Lonchura striata: one gene and its partner. The protein of the gene in region 1 purifies or fractionates together with the protein of each later gene. This does not show direct contact. Links are inferred from orthologs where the notes say so. Each region holds a gene or a part of one and is shown on either strand. Other genes may lie near its edges.

Region 1 (7,912 bases):
TCTTCTCCAAGTACAACATGGCGCGCGCCGGCAGACCGCGGCGGCCCGGCCGCACCGGCCCGCCCGGCGCCCGGGCCAGGTCGGCGTGCAGCTGCTGCAGCAGCCCGCGGCAGCGCAGGTTGCGGCGCGGCTCCCAGGTGTTGGCCGACGAGGGGTAACCACGCCACTTGACCAGGTAGAAATCCTCGTTCTGCGTGGGTGGGGGGATAAAGGCGGGGTTAAAGGGGGGTTTGGGGTAGGGGGTGGGCAGTGGGGACCCCCAGGTGTGGGGACTCAAAAGGTCTGGGGGGTTCCTGGAGTGACCGCAAGGTCTGGAGACGCTGGGGGGTCTCATGAGGTCGGGAGGGACGCGGGAATCTGGAGGACTCTGAGGGTCTCACGAGGTCTGGGGGTTCCTGGGGTGACCCCACTGTGGGGGTCCTTTGGGGGTCTAAGAGGGTTCAGGGGGTCCTGGAGTGACCCCAATGTCCAGAGACCCTGTGGGGCTTTTTTGGGGCTGGGGCTTCTTGGAGTGACACCAATGCCCAGGGACCCTGTGGGGCTCTTTTGGGCTGGGGGTTCCTGGAGTGACCCCAGGGACCCTTTGGGGCTTTTTTGGGTCTGGGGGTTCCTGGAGTGACCCCAATGCCCAGAGACCCTGTGGGGCTTTTTTGGGGCTGGGGGTTCCTGGAGTGACCCCAATGTCCAGGGACCCTGTGGGGCTTTTTTGGGGCTGGGGGTTCCTGGAGTGACCCCAGGGACCCTGTGGAGCTTTTTTGGGTCTGGGGGTTCTTGGAGTGACCCCAATGCCCAGGGACCCTGTGGGGCTTTTTTGGGTCTGGGGGTTCCTGGAGTGACCCCAATGCCCAGGGACCCTGTGGGGCTTTTTTGGGTCTGGGGGTTCCTGGAGTGACCCCAGGGACCCTGTGGAGCTTTTTTGGGTCTGGGGGTTCCTGGAGTGACCCCAATGTCCAGAGACCCTGTGGGGCCGAACTGGGTCAGAGATTCTTGGGGTGTCGAAGCCTGGGGACCTTAAAGGAGACCCCGACGTCCCTGTGGGGGCTCACGAGGCCAGGGGGGTTTTGGGGTCACCAGGGGGTCCCCGTTTGCCCCCAGGGGGTCTGGCAGTGCCCAGTGTGGGGGTCCTGGGCCAATTCTGGGTTTGGGGGTCCCAGTTTGGGGGCCTGGCTGGATTCCTGGTCTTTGTGGGGTGGAATCCCGGTTTGGGGGTCCCGTGTAGGGGTCCCCGCTCTGTTCCCAGTGTCTGTGGGGGTCCCGGTTCGGGGGTCCCGGGTCAGCTCCCAGTTTGGGGTGCTGATTTGGGGGTCCCGGGTCAGCTCCCAGTTTGGGGGTCCCGGTTCGGGGGTCCCGGGTCAGCTCCCAGTTTGGGGTGCCGGTTCGGGGGTCCCGGGTCAGCTCCCAGTTTGGGGGTGCTGGTTCGGGGGTCCCGGGTCAGCTCCCAGTTTGGGGGTGCTGGTTCGGGGGTCCCGGGTCAGCTCCCAGTTTGGGGGTCCCAGTGTCTGTAGGGATCCCGATTTGGGGGTCCCGGTTCGGGGCTCCCGGGTCGGTTCCCCGTCCGGAGGTCCCGGTTCGGGGGTCCCGTCCGGGGGTCCCGGGTTGGTTCCCCGCTCGGGGTCCCGGGTCGGTTCCCCGCTCGGGGTCCCGGTTCGGGGGTCCCGTCCGGGGGTCCCGGGTCGGTTCCCAGCTCGGGGGTCCCGTCCAGGGATCCCGGGTCGGTTCCCAGCTCGGGGTCCCGGTTCGGGGGTCCCGTCCGGGGGTCCCGGGTCGGTTCCCAGCTCGGGGGTCCCGTCCGGGGCTCCCGGGTCGGTTCCCCGTTCGGGGTCCCGGTTCGGGGGTCCCGGGTCGGTTCCCCGTTCGGGGTCCCGGTTCGGGGGTCCCGGGTCGGTTCCCAGCTCGGGGGTCCCGTGTCGGTTCCCAGCTCGGGGGTCCCGTCCGGGGGTCCCGCGCCCCTCACCCGCACTCGCCGGTAGTCGCAGATCGTCTCCACCTCGAACTCGGCGAGGTTGCGGCGGGTGACCCCCAGGGCGCGGCACCGCACGCGCTGCAGCCGGCACAGCTCCTGCAGCCGCGGCCAGGGCGACAGGCAGCACACGGAGCACTCTGCGGGCGGCACCGGGGCGACAGCGTCAGGGGACGGGCGGCACCATCGAGCCGAGCCGAGCCGAGCCAGCCGAGCCGAGCCGAGCCGAGCCGAGCCGAGCCGAGCCGAGCCGAGCCGAGCCGAGCCTCTCCCGCCCGTTCCCGCCACTTCCCCCCGCTTCCCTCAGGCGCCAACGGCCGCGCGCGGGCAGCGCCGCCGGCCCCTCAGAGCGCCCCCGGCCCGGTTCTCCCCCTCCCGCAGCCCCGGAGACCCCCCGGGCCCGCCCCGCTCTCGCCACCTTTTAAATTTTCCGCCATTTTCAGCCGCCGCCGCTTTTTTTTTTGTCGTTTTCCGCCTTTTTTTTTTTTTTTTTTTTTTCTTTCTGGCGCCGCTTCCGCCCGGCGGGCAGCGCGGGGGGCGGGGCTTCCTCTGCCCGCGCCCAGCGCCCATTGGCTGGCCCGGCTGCTGATTTGCATAGTGACAGCAGCCCGCGCGCCTTCCATTGGCTGATGCGGTGATTAATTTCCATACCGACACCGTCGCGCCCCTTCTCTATTGGCCACCGCGCCGCTTTATTTGCATAATATCTGATCCCGCCATTGGCCGCCGCGTCGATTGATTTGCATAGCGCTCCCAGCAGCACCCGCGACTGTTCGTTTACATACTGGTGCGAAGGGACCGGTTTCCATTGGCCGCGGCGCTGCCTCATTTACATATCGCTCCCAGCAGCGCCCGCGCACGGCGCCGATCCCGAATTCCGCCGTTTTTCCCCCATTTTCCGCGCGGTTTTCCCGGCTCGGAGCCGCTGGAAGCGCCGGGATCCCCTCGGGGCCCCTCCCCGAGCCGCTGGATTCCCGCTCCCTCTCCTCGCTGCCGGGGCTCATTAAACGGTAATTAATGAGCGATTCATTAACGAGGCGCATGGTCACGTGACTCCTGCGTTTATTTGGGGGGGGGGGGGGGGGCACGAGGGGGGGAAAAAAGGGGAGGGGGGGCAGGAAAAGCCGGGGCCCCTCCCCCCCCGAGCTGGGGGAGGGGCGCAGGCGGGGTGGGGGAGGGGTGGGGGGGGCCCCAATTTGGGTCTGGGGGCGTCTCGAGGGAGGGGGAGGGGCAGGGGGGGTCTCACTCGTCCCATTCATCATCATCCTCCTCCTCCTCGCTGGCTGTGCCTTCATCTGGGGGGGCGACAATGGAGAGGGGTCGGGGGGTTTTTTTGGGGGGATTTTGGGGGTTTTGGGGTTGTTTTGTTTTAATTTGGGGAGGGGTCTCACCCGAGGAATGGATGACGCGGCTTCGCTTCTGCATCACGTCCATCAGGGCCCCCACGAGCCCCCCCGCGCCGGGACCCGCGCCCACCTCGGGGGTCTCAGGGGTCTGGGGGGGGGGGTGGGAAATGGGGAGGGGTCAGGCAGGGTCCTCCCCCACCAGCCCCTCCCCCACGGCCACGTCAAAAGGTCAGGGGAGCCCCCCAAGAAATCACGAGACCACCCACCCAAAAAAAAGGGGCATGGAACAGCCCCTCCCCCATCCCATGGAGACCCCCAAAGGTCACAGGACCCCCCCCTTGGACACCCCCCCCCAATTTTTGGGGTCTCCTCCCATTCTTGGGGTCCCACTCCCATTTTTGGCTCCACCCCACCCGTTTTTGGGGTCCCCATCCCAATTTTTGGTGTCCCCCTCCCTATTTTTTGGTGTCCCCCTTCCATTTTTGGGGTCTCCATCCCCATTTTTGAGCTCCCCCTCCCCATTTTCGGTCTCCCCCTCCCCATTTTTGGTGCCCCCTCCCCATTTTTGGTGCCCCCTCCCCATTTTCGGTCTCCCCCTCCCCATTTTTTGGTGCCCCCTCCCCATTTTTGGTGCCCCCTCCCCATTTTCGGTGTCCCCCTCCCCATTTTTGGTGCCCCCTCCCCAATTTCGGTCTCCCCCTCCCCATTTTTTGGTGCCCCCTCCCCATTTTTGGTGCCCCCTCCCCATTTTCGGTCTCCCCCTCCCCGTTTTTGGTGCCCCCTCCCCATTTTCGGTCTCCCCCCCCCATTTTCAGTCTCCCCCTCCCCATTTTCGGTGTCCCCCTCCCCATTTTTGGTGCCCCCTCCCCATTTTCGGTGTCCCCCTCCCCAGTTTTGGTGCCCCCTCCCCATTTTTGGTGCCCCCTCCCCATTTTCGGTCTCCCCCTCCCCGTTTTTGGGGTCCCCGACCTTGTTGAGCGTCACCCCCTGGCGGATCTGGTCCAGCAGCGCCCCCCGGCCGGGGGGGGTCGCGGGGGGGACCCCGGAGGGGGGAGGGGGCGGCGGAGGGGGGGAGGGGGCGGGGCGGCGGCGCCCGGGGGGGCGGGGCCTCGCGGGGGAGGGGCGGGGCCTCGCGGAGGGGGAGGGGCGGGGGGAGGGGCGGGGCCGGCGCGGGGTGGGGGAGGGGCCGGGACCGCCGAGCGGGAGCGGGAGGAGGGGGGGGAGGGGCGGGGGGAGGGGCGGGGCTCCCGCGGCCCGGGGGGGGAGGGGGCGGTCCTGGGGGAGGAGAGAGAGGAGGGGGAGGGGTCAGAGGGGGCACGGGGGGGCACAGAGACCCGCCGGGTGCCCCCAGGTGTGCCCAGGTGTGCCCAGGTCCCTCCCAGGTGTGCCCGGCCCCACCCCCAGGTGTGTCCCAGGTACCCCCAGGTGTGCCCAGGTGTGCCCAGGTATCCCCAGGTGTGCCCAGGTATCCCCAGGTGCCCCCCAGTTGTGCCCAGGTGTGCCCAGGTACCCCCAGGTGTGCCCAGGTGTGCCCAGGTACCCCCAGGTGTGCCCAGGTACCCCCAGGTGTGTCCCAGGTACCCCCAGGTATCCCCAGGTGCCCCCCAGTTGTACCCAGGTGTGCCCAGGTCCCTCCCAGGTGTGCCCAGGTGTGCCTAGTCCCACCCCCAGGTGTGTCCCAGGTACCCCCAGGTGTGCCCAGGTGTCTCTAGGTTTCCCAGGTCCCTCCCAGGTGCCCCCAGGTGTGCCCAGGAACCCCCAGGTGTGCCCAGGTCCCTCCCAGGTGCCCCCAGGTGTGCCCAGGAACCCCCAGGTGTGCCCAGGTCCCTCCCAGGTGCTCCCAGGTGTGCCCAGGTGCTCCCAGCTGTCCCCAGGAGCCCCCAGGTCCCTCCCAGGTGTGCCCAGGTGCCCCCCAGGTGTCTCTAGGTTTCTCCCAGCTGTCCCCAGGTCCCTCCCAGGTGTGCCCAGGTGTGCCCAGATGTGCCCAGGTCCCTCCCAGGTGTGCCCAGGTGTGCCCAGATGTGCCCAGGTCCCTCCCAGGTGTGCCCAGGTGCTCCCAGCTGTCCCCAGGTCCCTCCCAGGTGTGCCCAGGTGTGCCCAGGTCCCTCCCAGGTGTGCCCAGCTGTGCCCAGGTGCTCCCAGCTGTCCCCAGGTCCCTCCCAGGTGTGCCCAGGTCCCTCCCAGGTGTGCCCAGGTGTGCCCAGGTGTGCCCAGGTGCCCCAGGCGCCCCGTGCCCACCCTGGCGCCGCATCTCCTCGCGCACGGCCTGCAGCCCGCCCCGGCGCTCGATGAAGTCGTGGATCAGGCGCGAGGTCTCGGCGTCGGCCAAGTGGCGCTCGCTGACCCCGGCCTGGGCGAAGAGGGACCGCAGGGCGGGGTCCATGGCGGCCAGCTGGGGACAGGGACACGGTGAGGGGACAGGGACACCCCGCGGGGTCAGTGTCACCCTACACAGGGTCAGTGTCACCCCTCGGGTCACTCTCACCCCTCAGGGTCACTGACAGCCCACACAGGGTCAGTGTCACCCCACGGGGTCAGTGTCACCCCACGGGGTCAGTGTCACCCCACGGGGTCAGTGTCACCCCACAGGGTCAGTGTCACCCCATGGAACAAGAGGGACCGCAGGGCGGGGTCCAGGGCGGCCAGCTGGGGACAGGGACACGGTGAGGGGACAGGGACACCCCGCGGGGTCAGAGTCACACCCCGCGGGGTCAGTGTCACACCCCGCGGGGTCAGTGTCACACCCCGCGGGGTCACTGTCACACCCCACGGGGTCAGTGTCACACCCCTTGGGTCACTGTCACCCTACACAGGGTCAGTGTCACCCCGCGGGGTCAGTGTCACACCCCGCGGGGTCAGTGTCACCCCGCGGGGTCAGTGTCACACCCCACAGGGTCAGTGTCATCCCTCGGGTCACTGTCACCCTGCACGGGATCGTTGTCACCCCTCAGGGTCACTGTCACCCCACAGGGTCAGTGTCACCCCACACAGGGTGAGTGTCACCCCACACAGGGTCAGTGTCACCCCTCGGGTCACTGTCACCAGGGTCAGTGTCACCCCTCGGGTCACTGTCACCCTGCACGGGATCGCTGTCACCCCTCGGGTCCCTGTCACCCCTCAGGGTCACTGTCACCAGGGTCAGTGTCACCCCACAGGGTCAGTGTCACCCCACACAGGGTCACTGTCACCCCTCGGGTCACTGTCACCCCCAGGGTCACTGTCACCCCTTGGGTTACTGTCACCCCTCAGGTCACTGTCACCCCACACGGGATCGCTGTCACCCCTCAGGGTCACTGTCACCCTGCACGGGATCGCTGTCACCCCTCGGGTCACTGTCACCCCTCACAGGGTCGCTGTCACCCCAGGGTCACCCCATGGGGACCCCGGGCCAGGCCCAGGGATGCCACCTGGGCAGGGACATCTGTCACCCCCCGTGGGGTCACCCCGGGGTCACTGTCACCCACTTGGGGGAGGTGTCACCCACATCGAAGCCACCAGTGGGGTCCCACCCGATGTGACCGACGTGCCTGGAGGGGGAGGGGAGAGCGGTGAGACCCCCGCGACCCCCCGGAACCCCCCAGACCCCAAAATCCCCCTGGAGACCCCCCAAAACCTCCCAAGAGATGGCCCCAAACCGACCCCCACACCCCCCAAACCGACCCCCACATCCCCCAAATCGACCCCCACACCCCCCAAACCGACCCCCACATCCCCCAAACCGACCCCCACACCCCCCAAACCGACCCCCACATCCCCCAAACCGACCCCCACATCCCCCAAACCGACCCCCACACCCCCCAAACCGACCCCCACATCCCCCAAACCGACCCCCACATCCCCCAAACCGACCCCCACATCTCCCAAATCCTCCCCACCCTAAATCCCCCCCCAGACCTAAATCCCCCCAACATTCCCCAAATCCCCCCCAGACCCCAAATTCCCCCCCCATCCCCCAAATCCCCCCATCCCCCAAACCGACCCCCACATTCCCCAAACCGACCCCCACACCCCCCAAACCGACCCCCACACCCCCCAAATCGACCCCCACATTCCCAAAATCCTCCCCACCCTAAATCCCCCCCAGACCCAAATCCCCCCCAAAATCCCCCCATCTCCCAAATCCCCCCATACCCAAAACCCCCCCAACATCCCCCAAATCCCCCCAGACCCCAAATCCCCCCAAACCCCAAATCCCCCCATCCCCCAAATCCCCCCATCCCCCAAATCCCCCCCAGACCCCAAATCCCATCCCCCAAATCCCATCCCCCAAATCCCCCCCAGACCCAAAATCCCATCCCCCAAATCCCCCATCCCCCAAATCCCATCCCCCCAAATCCCAGACCCCAAATCCCATCCCCCAAATCCCCCCAGACCCCAAATCCCATCCCCCAAATCCCCCCAGACCCCAAATCCCCCCCAGACCCCAAATCCCATCCCCCCAAATCCCATCCCCCAAATCCCATCCCCCAAATCCCCCCAGACCCCAAATCCCCCCCCAGACCCACTTGAATCCGGAGGGGACCCCGATATCGGCCTTGGAGATTTTCTTGCGCCCCCTCCCCTTTTTCCGCTGGCCGGGGGGGGCCCCGGGGGCGGGCGGGGGTCC
Region 2 (7,064 bases), on another chromosome or scaffold:
CTCAGAGCCCCGCTCCATTCCAGCCCTCTCCCTGTCTGTGCTGATCATACTTCACAGGTGAAAGCAGCTCTGACTTATGACAGAGAGAAAATGCCAGAAGAGCTGGAGGTTTCCTCATCCTTGGAACAAGGACAAGTTGTGAAAAGCTTCCTTTGCAAGAGCCACTGTGCTGCTCAGGCACAGTATGGCAGTGTTGCAGGGAGGACACTTGCACGTCAGACCTTCTTAACCCCCACTGCCTCGGCCCTTCTCACCTCCTTCCCCCTCCTGATGGGGACTGAAGGAAAAACATATTTAAATCACCTGTTTTGGAGGATGCAAGTTGTTGTGTTGGAGTCCAGGATGTTTTTTAAAAGCTTGCTCAACATTTTCTCCCCTTTTATATTTCCCTTTTCTTTTTTCTAATGGATGCTTTCCAATTAGCTTGTACAGTTTGAGAGCTTCGCTCCTGCTGCTTTCCTGACTACTGTAAATCCTGGCAGGCTGCCCTCCTCCTCTGCCCCCCTCCAGGACCAACACCACCCTACAGCAAAGCCAGACACATATCCTCCACCCAAGAGACCAAGGAGCTCACAGGGGCACAAGAGGGACAAATCCCACTGGAAACATGAGAGGCCATAAGGGTCTGCAAAGAGGGAGCTGGTGTTTGGAGGAGTCAGAAAAAATAACTGGCTGAAAATGGGAGTTGAGGATTATTAATTCAGGGATTTGTTTCCAAATCACTGACATTCCATGTCACTGCAGGAACATATGGTCCTCCAAGGCTTGCAAGCAGGGAGCACACGCCATCAGTGCCCTGAGCTTTTGGGCTGACCCCAACACACGGTCACTCTCCCGCTGCGGCCATTCCTCGACCACTCTCAGCTTCAGGAGCAGGAAGGCGAGAAGGAAAAACTTCAGGGAAAAGCAGCAAAAGGAAAACAAAGAGGAGCAGCAGGAACCAAGTCAGCCCTCCCCCAAACCAGCTGGCCAGGAGAGCAAAGCTCCTTAAAACTCCTTGTTTACCTGAATAAAACAACTCACTGCCATTGCATGAGGTGCACACAACTCTCTTTCCTCAGGAGATGGCATCACATGGGAGAGCTCCCAGGAGCCAGGTCATGGAGCTGCCTCTGCCCCCTGCCCAGGGCTGGTCTCACAGAGGCTGAGCTGCAGGAATATGCCTCATATGTGCCACAGAGCCTAGTCCTACCCAAACATGTCCTGGGACGAGGGCAAGAGCTCGTGCTGGCACCGCACAGGCAGTTAAATACATGAAACAGAACAAAACCAAGACCCAAAGGCCCCACTTTGGGCTCTTAACCCTTGCTGAGAAGCAGTGCCAAGCCCAGACCTCGGCGGCTCTCTTCCCTCCAAAGTAGGTCAGGCTTTTCTGCGTCTCTGCAGACGCTTCCCAAGGGCCCCAGCCGGCAGGGACAGAGCGTTGGGCACTTCCAGCCAAAGCCACGCTGGTGTCACCACCACACAGGAGCACACCTCCCACACCTCAGAGGGTTTTTGGTTGTCTCCTCAGCCTTCATCAAGCCCAAAGCTCATTTTCTCCCTGAGTGAAGCTGCTCAGGCAGCAGGTCAAGGCCTCAGCTCTTCACTGTTAAAGAGAAATCTCAGCTCTCTCCTCCTGACTTCTGATGCCTTTTCCTTTTCTTCTGAATGATGAACAATGAGCACATTTATCATCCAGTGGAGAAACAACAGATATTTAGATTAGGTATCACAGATTGTCCCATGTAAGCTCCCTGATATTTTAAATGCCATCTTCACATCTTGCTCCTTGATTGAAAGTTCAATATTGTGTCAACATTGCAGATTCGAGGGTCTCCCTGGAGCACAGCAAGCTCAGGCCAGTGTTCTGCAGGGCTGTCCGTGCCTTCCAGGGGCCTGGGACCTTCTGTGTCCATCCCAAATCTCACCAAGGTCTGTGGCAGCCAACAGTTCTTGCATGTAACACAAATCACAGAGGAAAAAAAAAATCCCAAGGGCAGAACCGGGGGGCTGAGTTTTAAAATATGTTGCAGGCATGTTCCTGCCATGAAGTCAACCACGGATGTTTCCTTTGCATCAGATGTTTCCTTGGATTGCTATTATGAAAAAAAAATTAAAAAAAAAGAAGAGAGAAGGGAGGAAGTGACCCCAAAATAAAAAGGATTGCTTCTTCCTGGTAAAATGCTGTTGGCTCTGGCCTCCACCCCAGCAAGCCATAGGCAGAGGCTGTCAAAAGAGACCCAGTGAGGAGGTGCCATGTGGCCACAGGCCCTCTCCTCCCCTTTAGACATTCAGTCTTCAAGCAGCTCGGGCACCCCAGGCTTTGTGCCTTTTTCTTCTAACAGCTACAAGCAGCTCCTTGGAGAATTTTCCAGAAACTTCACACTTTAAAAGCACAAACAAATCCTAAAAACACCAAAAAAAAAAAAAAAAGAACCAAAAACCCAAAACCAAACCAACCCCAAGCGAGCTTCCCCACCCCAGGAGACAAACGAAAGGCACGAGGAAACAAAGCCCGAGGTTTGCCGGCGGCGCTGCCGGGCGCCGAGGCCCCTCGGAGCCCATGGAAGAGCCATCCCAGCAGGATGGGCCATGCCAGCAGGATGGGCCATCCCAGCAGGATGGGCCATGCCTGCAGGATGGGCCATGCCTGCAGGATGGGCCATGCCTGCAGATGGGCCATGCCAGCAGGATGGGCCATGCCCACCCCGCACCGGGCAGCCGCGCGCAGGAATATCCAAACAAATGAACAAACAGCCCCGGCCATGCTTCCCCGGCCTCTGCTCCTCCTCTCCTCTCCAAGGCTTCTCCTTCCCGGGCAGGACGCAGCCCTGCCCTGCCAGGGCCTCGCCAGGCACGGGAGGTGGACGGACCCTGCGGTACCTGCGGGCAGCTGTTGTCTTCTTCTGGTGAAGACTCCAAGAGTTGCATATTCCAGATCCTCATGAGCAGTGATTCAGTTTCTGCTCATGTGATAAAGCTCCCTCTACAGAGTGAGCATGCCCAGAAGAGCCCATTTCACTGCTCCCTCCACTGCAGCCATTTCACAGAGAACCTGCCGGCTCCAGGGCGTCCATTGGAGCGCGATTATCCCGGGCATCCCCGGGACGCACCGGTAATGCAGATCATCTGTCAACTTTCTGACAGGGCGCCAGGCCTCAAAACTGATCACTCGCCTGAAAAAAAGAGAAAGCTTTTTAAACCAGAGTGCTGTCTCGTGGCCTTCAAGAGTAGCACTTGCCCGTGGGAAAAGGAGAGGCAGGAAGGACAGGGAGGGATGTGAGTGGCTTGGGGATGTCCCTGGGCTGATTTTGTAGTGCTTAACGAAGTGCCCAACCTCTGAGAGCTGGGATGAAGGCACATGGGTTAAACTGATGCAGGGAGCAGTGCCCAAGACAGCGTCTCTTCGAGATCTGAACTGCTGATCTGAAGGGGAGATCATTTTCACTTTGGGGATTAATAACCTGACCTGGTACAACTGACTTTGAAAGGGTATCACAAACACAGTCATGGAAAAGCAGGGGGGGAACAGAATGAAGGGACATCCTCATGGATCCATCCTCATCCCCACCCTAATGAAGGGATAGTTCACTACAAGGCACAGGAGCTCTAAGCTCAGTCTATGTCAAACCCTACAATACTGCTGGCCCCAGCCAGCAAGATAACAGAAGAAATTTTAGCTTCAAAATAAAAGTAGTTTGTCTCTGTTCCACTTCACAATTAAGCATAAACTCTTGGCAACCTTCATATCTGCTCAGGCTCCCAGTAAAACTGCCAGAGCAGCTCGCAGGAACATCTGTAAGCAGAGCTCGGCTGGAAGGGATTCAAGGAAGACTGGCATTTATTGGAGGCAGGAGCAGGAGGCTGCTGGAGCCGGGTGTCAGGCTGGAGAACCTCCCCCCGAGCAGGGGGAGGGCAGCCAGCAACCTCGAGGAAGAGGCCAGAAAGAAGAGGAAACTCTGACATGGCCCCGTGGCACCACCCGCGTGCTCTTGGCCAAAGGAAAAACAGCTTTCCAAAAGAGGAGAGCACTGGAGAGCGTCCTCCTAAAGAGAGAGTTCTCTTTAAGAGTAGAAACTACAGTGAGGATGAGTGGAGTGCAATGTGTGACAGTGAGCTGGGAGGGCAGGGAGCAGACTCCACTGCAGGGAGGAACAAGCCATCCAAATCCCTAGGGAGGTTTGGGAGAGCCTGGGGATGAAGTTTGTCCTGCCCCAGCACCAGGCGAGTCCAGGCCTCAGCACAGCACAACAGCCATGGCCGGCTCTGCCAGGCTGGAAACATCCACAAGCCACGTTTCCTCCAGTCCCAGCAGCTCTTTCACCACTGTGGCCAGGCACGTTTGCAGAGCTGCAATAATTAAAGCAGCAAAGAGCTGTTACAGATCTCCCTTGGCTATGAGGATGTTGTTTCCTCTCCACACTCTGGAGAAGTTTCACTACTAAACAGTTAAAACACACAAGGCTAAATTGAGATGATTGAAATTCATAGGCAAGGAGTATTTGAGGTGACAGGATAAAGAAAGGATCACTTTCACCCACCAGGTTTTCATCCAACGTGAGTCTTAAGTTTTAATATACACAAAATGAGGTTTTCCTGGCCTTTCTCTCAGTCACTGAGAGGTGCAGAGGTAACTCATTTAAAGACAAATTCAAAAATCCTCAAACAAAAGCAACAAACCCCAGCTATGTAGACAGGAGTTGCCTTATCCACCGCATCAAAAGATTACTGTACTTCAAACCAAAGATGGCTTTAAAACAGTTGATGCAGTTGATTGCTGCCCTTCCTTGCAGCATGAAATTACCACGCTTTCATTAAAAGCCCAGAAATAGAAACTAAGATATTAACAAAGGCAGTGTCAATGATCCACCACAGTCAACATTCCCTTTCTCAGATAAAATAACGCCCGAGAACGGCGGCACAGCCACAGCCTCCCCACTGCATCTCCACACCAGACATGTGTTCACTGCTGAGGTTAAATATACACTGAGAGCAGATGCTACCAGAGACACTTTTCACATCTCATGGCCATCCTTGAAAGCACTAAACACTGTTTAGAAACAAAAAGGAGAAAGCAGAGCTCACCAGGGTACTGCAGATGCCTCAACAACCAACTTGAGTAAAGCGATCGATCGGTGCCGTAGCAGCATCTCTGCCACGGGGGATGCCTGGGTGTCACTCAGTGAAACCTCACATTTCTGTCATCCAAAAGCAGCAAGAAGCTTGCAGGGCACAGCCATTGGCACTGGGAGAGGTGTCTCTTGCCCGGGACCCCCCTGTCCCCCCTTGGCAGGGGTCAGGTGCTGCACACCAGCAGTCACAGTCCTCTTTCCAGGCTGGCTGAGGAAAAGGTTTTGCTGATGATGGAGGATGAGAACAGGCCTGTGCCCCGAGATGCTGTGCCCTTTATTTAGCCCAAGTGCCCTCCAGCAGCCTTCCCAGCACAGTGACACCCCCCTTTCCAAACATTCCTGCCAGGGCCCACAGATTACAGGGTATTTTCACCCCACAGCTCTCCAGCCTCCCTCCTCTGACTGAAGGCTCAAACACCCCTATCAGAAATCCCACATTTTCAGGAGGAAGGGAGCAGCACAAACACCTCCCTTCACAAAGGACACCAGGTTCCTCAGGGCTCTTGCTTAATGACACCAGTAAGTCCAGCATTTTCACAGCTCCGTTGCAGGGAAGCCTAAGTGGGAGGCAAAGGGAGGTTTTTCTTTTTATAGGAAGAACAATATTTAGCTCTGCAAAATACAGAGGGTTTTCCTTATTTCCTTTCTTCCATCAGGCTTCTCTTCTTGCAGACTCTCCCCTTGATCAAATCTGATGCTCCCTTTCAGCCTCCTCAGAAACAATCCCAAAAGCTGAAGGGACTTTGGGTATGAGATGAGCATTTCTGCTGGAATCCTGATTGTTTCTGCACTGCTATAAACCATTCTCCAGCTTCACCACAAGCTATTCAAACATTCCTTCTGCTCTTCAACCATAATATACAACATTTCTTAATCAGAATAGCTCAGGACATACTGGGTATCCTCAGCACCCTCCAATGTCCACCTCCAGGCTCAGGTAACAGCTTTGAAAGAACAGGCAGTCAACAGGCAGTCATTAATGCATCTTTTGGAATCATAGCTTTCCCCATCTTTTAAAACCTGGTTTTATATCCCTAAAGCTTCCAAGCCATTTCCCTTCCTCTCCTCTTTTCCCCAGTAGAGTTGAAAACTGTTTTTACTTAATAGGAAACCAGAAATGTTCCCTGGGATACTGCACTGAGTAAATCATACACGCTAAAAAGGAAAAAAAAAAAGGAACATAATAGAGATCCTCTTGGACAGCAATTGAGATGTGAGCTCTCTGGGAGATGGTGCTATGTTTTGATAAGAATATGCGTTGAATATTTCATTTACAGGGCAATCCTAGATCTTTATTTAGCAGCATATTGGCCAGACAGCTGTAATTTAGAACATACTGTATTCCTAACAGTTCCCAATTATAAATTCCTTCAGCTTTAACTTACAGTAACCACAGCTCTTTCTATTTTGGAGTTCTAAATCCACCATTTCTCCCCTTCATTCAGCTATGGCATATCAAGAGCTCCTACAGTACAAACAGAGCCTTGCTGGAGAAGGGTCCTAAATCTAGCATTCTCTACCCCCAGCACAGCAAGCAGGCTCTTGCTTCCAGCACACTCACTGTTCCACAGACCAATGTTTTATTGGTTTATTTGGGGACAGTGGCCCCATTTGTCAGTGCAAAGCCATCCTGCAGCGCCCTGCCAGCAGCAGGCTGGGAAAATGGCTGTGCACATTCCATCCTCCTCCTGCTGCAACAAGCGCTGGAGATCCTGCCAACACGCCTCACGTGTTCAGTGTGGCCCTGTTCTTTGACCTCACACCTATTTTTTTTAAGGATTGAGGCACTGACATGAAAATAAGCAAGCTCTTCACTGGAGGAGAATCAGTGCTCCACGAAGCCTTTGTGTCTCTCCCCAGATCATGAGCTCCTGTGGAACAGCGCCTGTTGACGGCTCTCCCAGCCATCCTGCTGACTTTATCAAATTTCTGCAAGGAACAGAAGGAGCA

What was found. Proteins that work in one complex are often made in the same cells at the same time.
Region 2: the proteins of SUV39H1 (region 1) and EHMT1 purify together in Homo sapiens (co-immunoprecipitation; 3 studies listed by BioGRID and IntAct, with this or other methods). This does not show direct contact. The link is inferred for Lonchura striata from reciprocal best matches to the Homo sapiens genes SUV39H1 and EHMT1.

The regions. Positions count from the first base shown.
Region 1 is NC_134638.1:1,546,659-1,554,570, forward strand, and holds the start of SUV39H1 (histone-lysine N-methyltransferase SUV39H1), read right to left. Parts: upstream 3,004-7,912; coding exon 2,794-3,003; intron 2,730-2,793; coding exon 2,612-2,729; intron 2,101-2,611; coding exon 1,955-2,100; intron 191-1,954; coding exon 1-190. Other genes in the region: actin nucleation-promoting factor WAS, read right to left, coding at 3,203-3,255, 3,352-3,454, 4,511-4,613, 5,529-5,698, 6,791-6,833, 7,812-7,912. UniProt on the Homo sapiens protein: Histone methyltransferase that specifically trimethylates 'Lys-9' of histone H3 using monomethylated H3 'Lys-9' as substrate. Also weakly methylates histone H1 (in vitro).
Region 2 is NC_134624.1:4,059,727-4,066,790, forward strand, and holds the start of EHMT1 (histone-lysine N-methyltransferase EHMT1), read right to left. Parts: upstream 3,011-7,064; 5' UTR 2,929-3,010; coding exon 2,866-2,928; intron 300-2,865; exon of another isoform or gene 1-299. UniProt on the Homo sapiens protein: Histone methyltransferase that specifically mono- and dimethylates 'Lys-9' of histone H3 (H3K9me1 and H3K9me2, respectively) in euchromatin.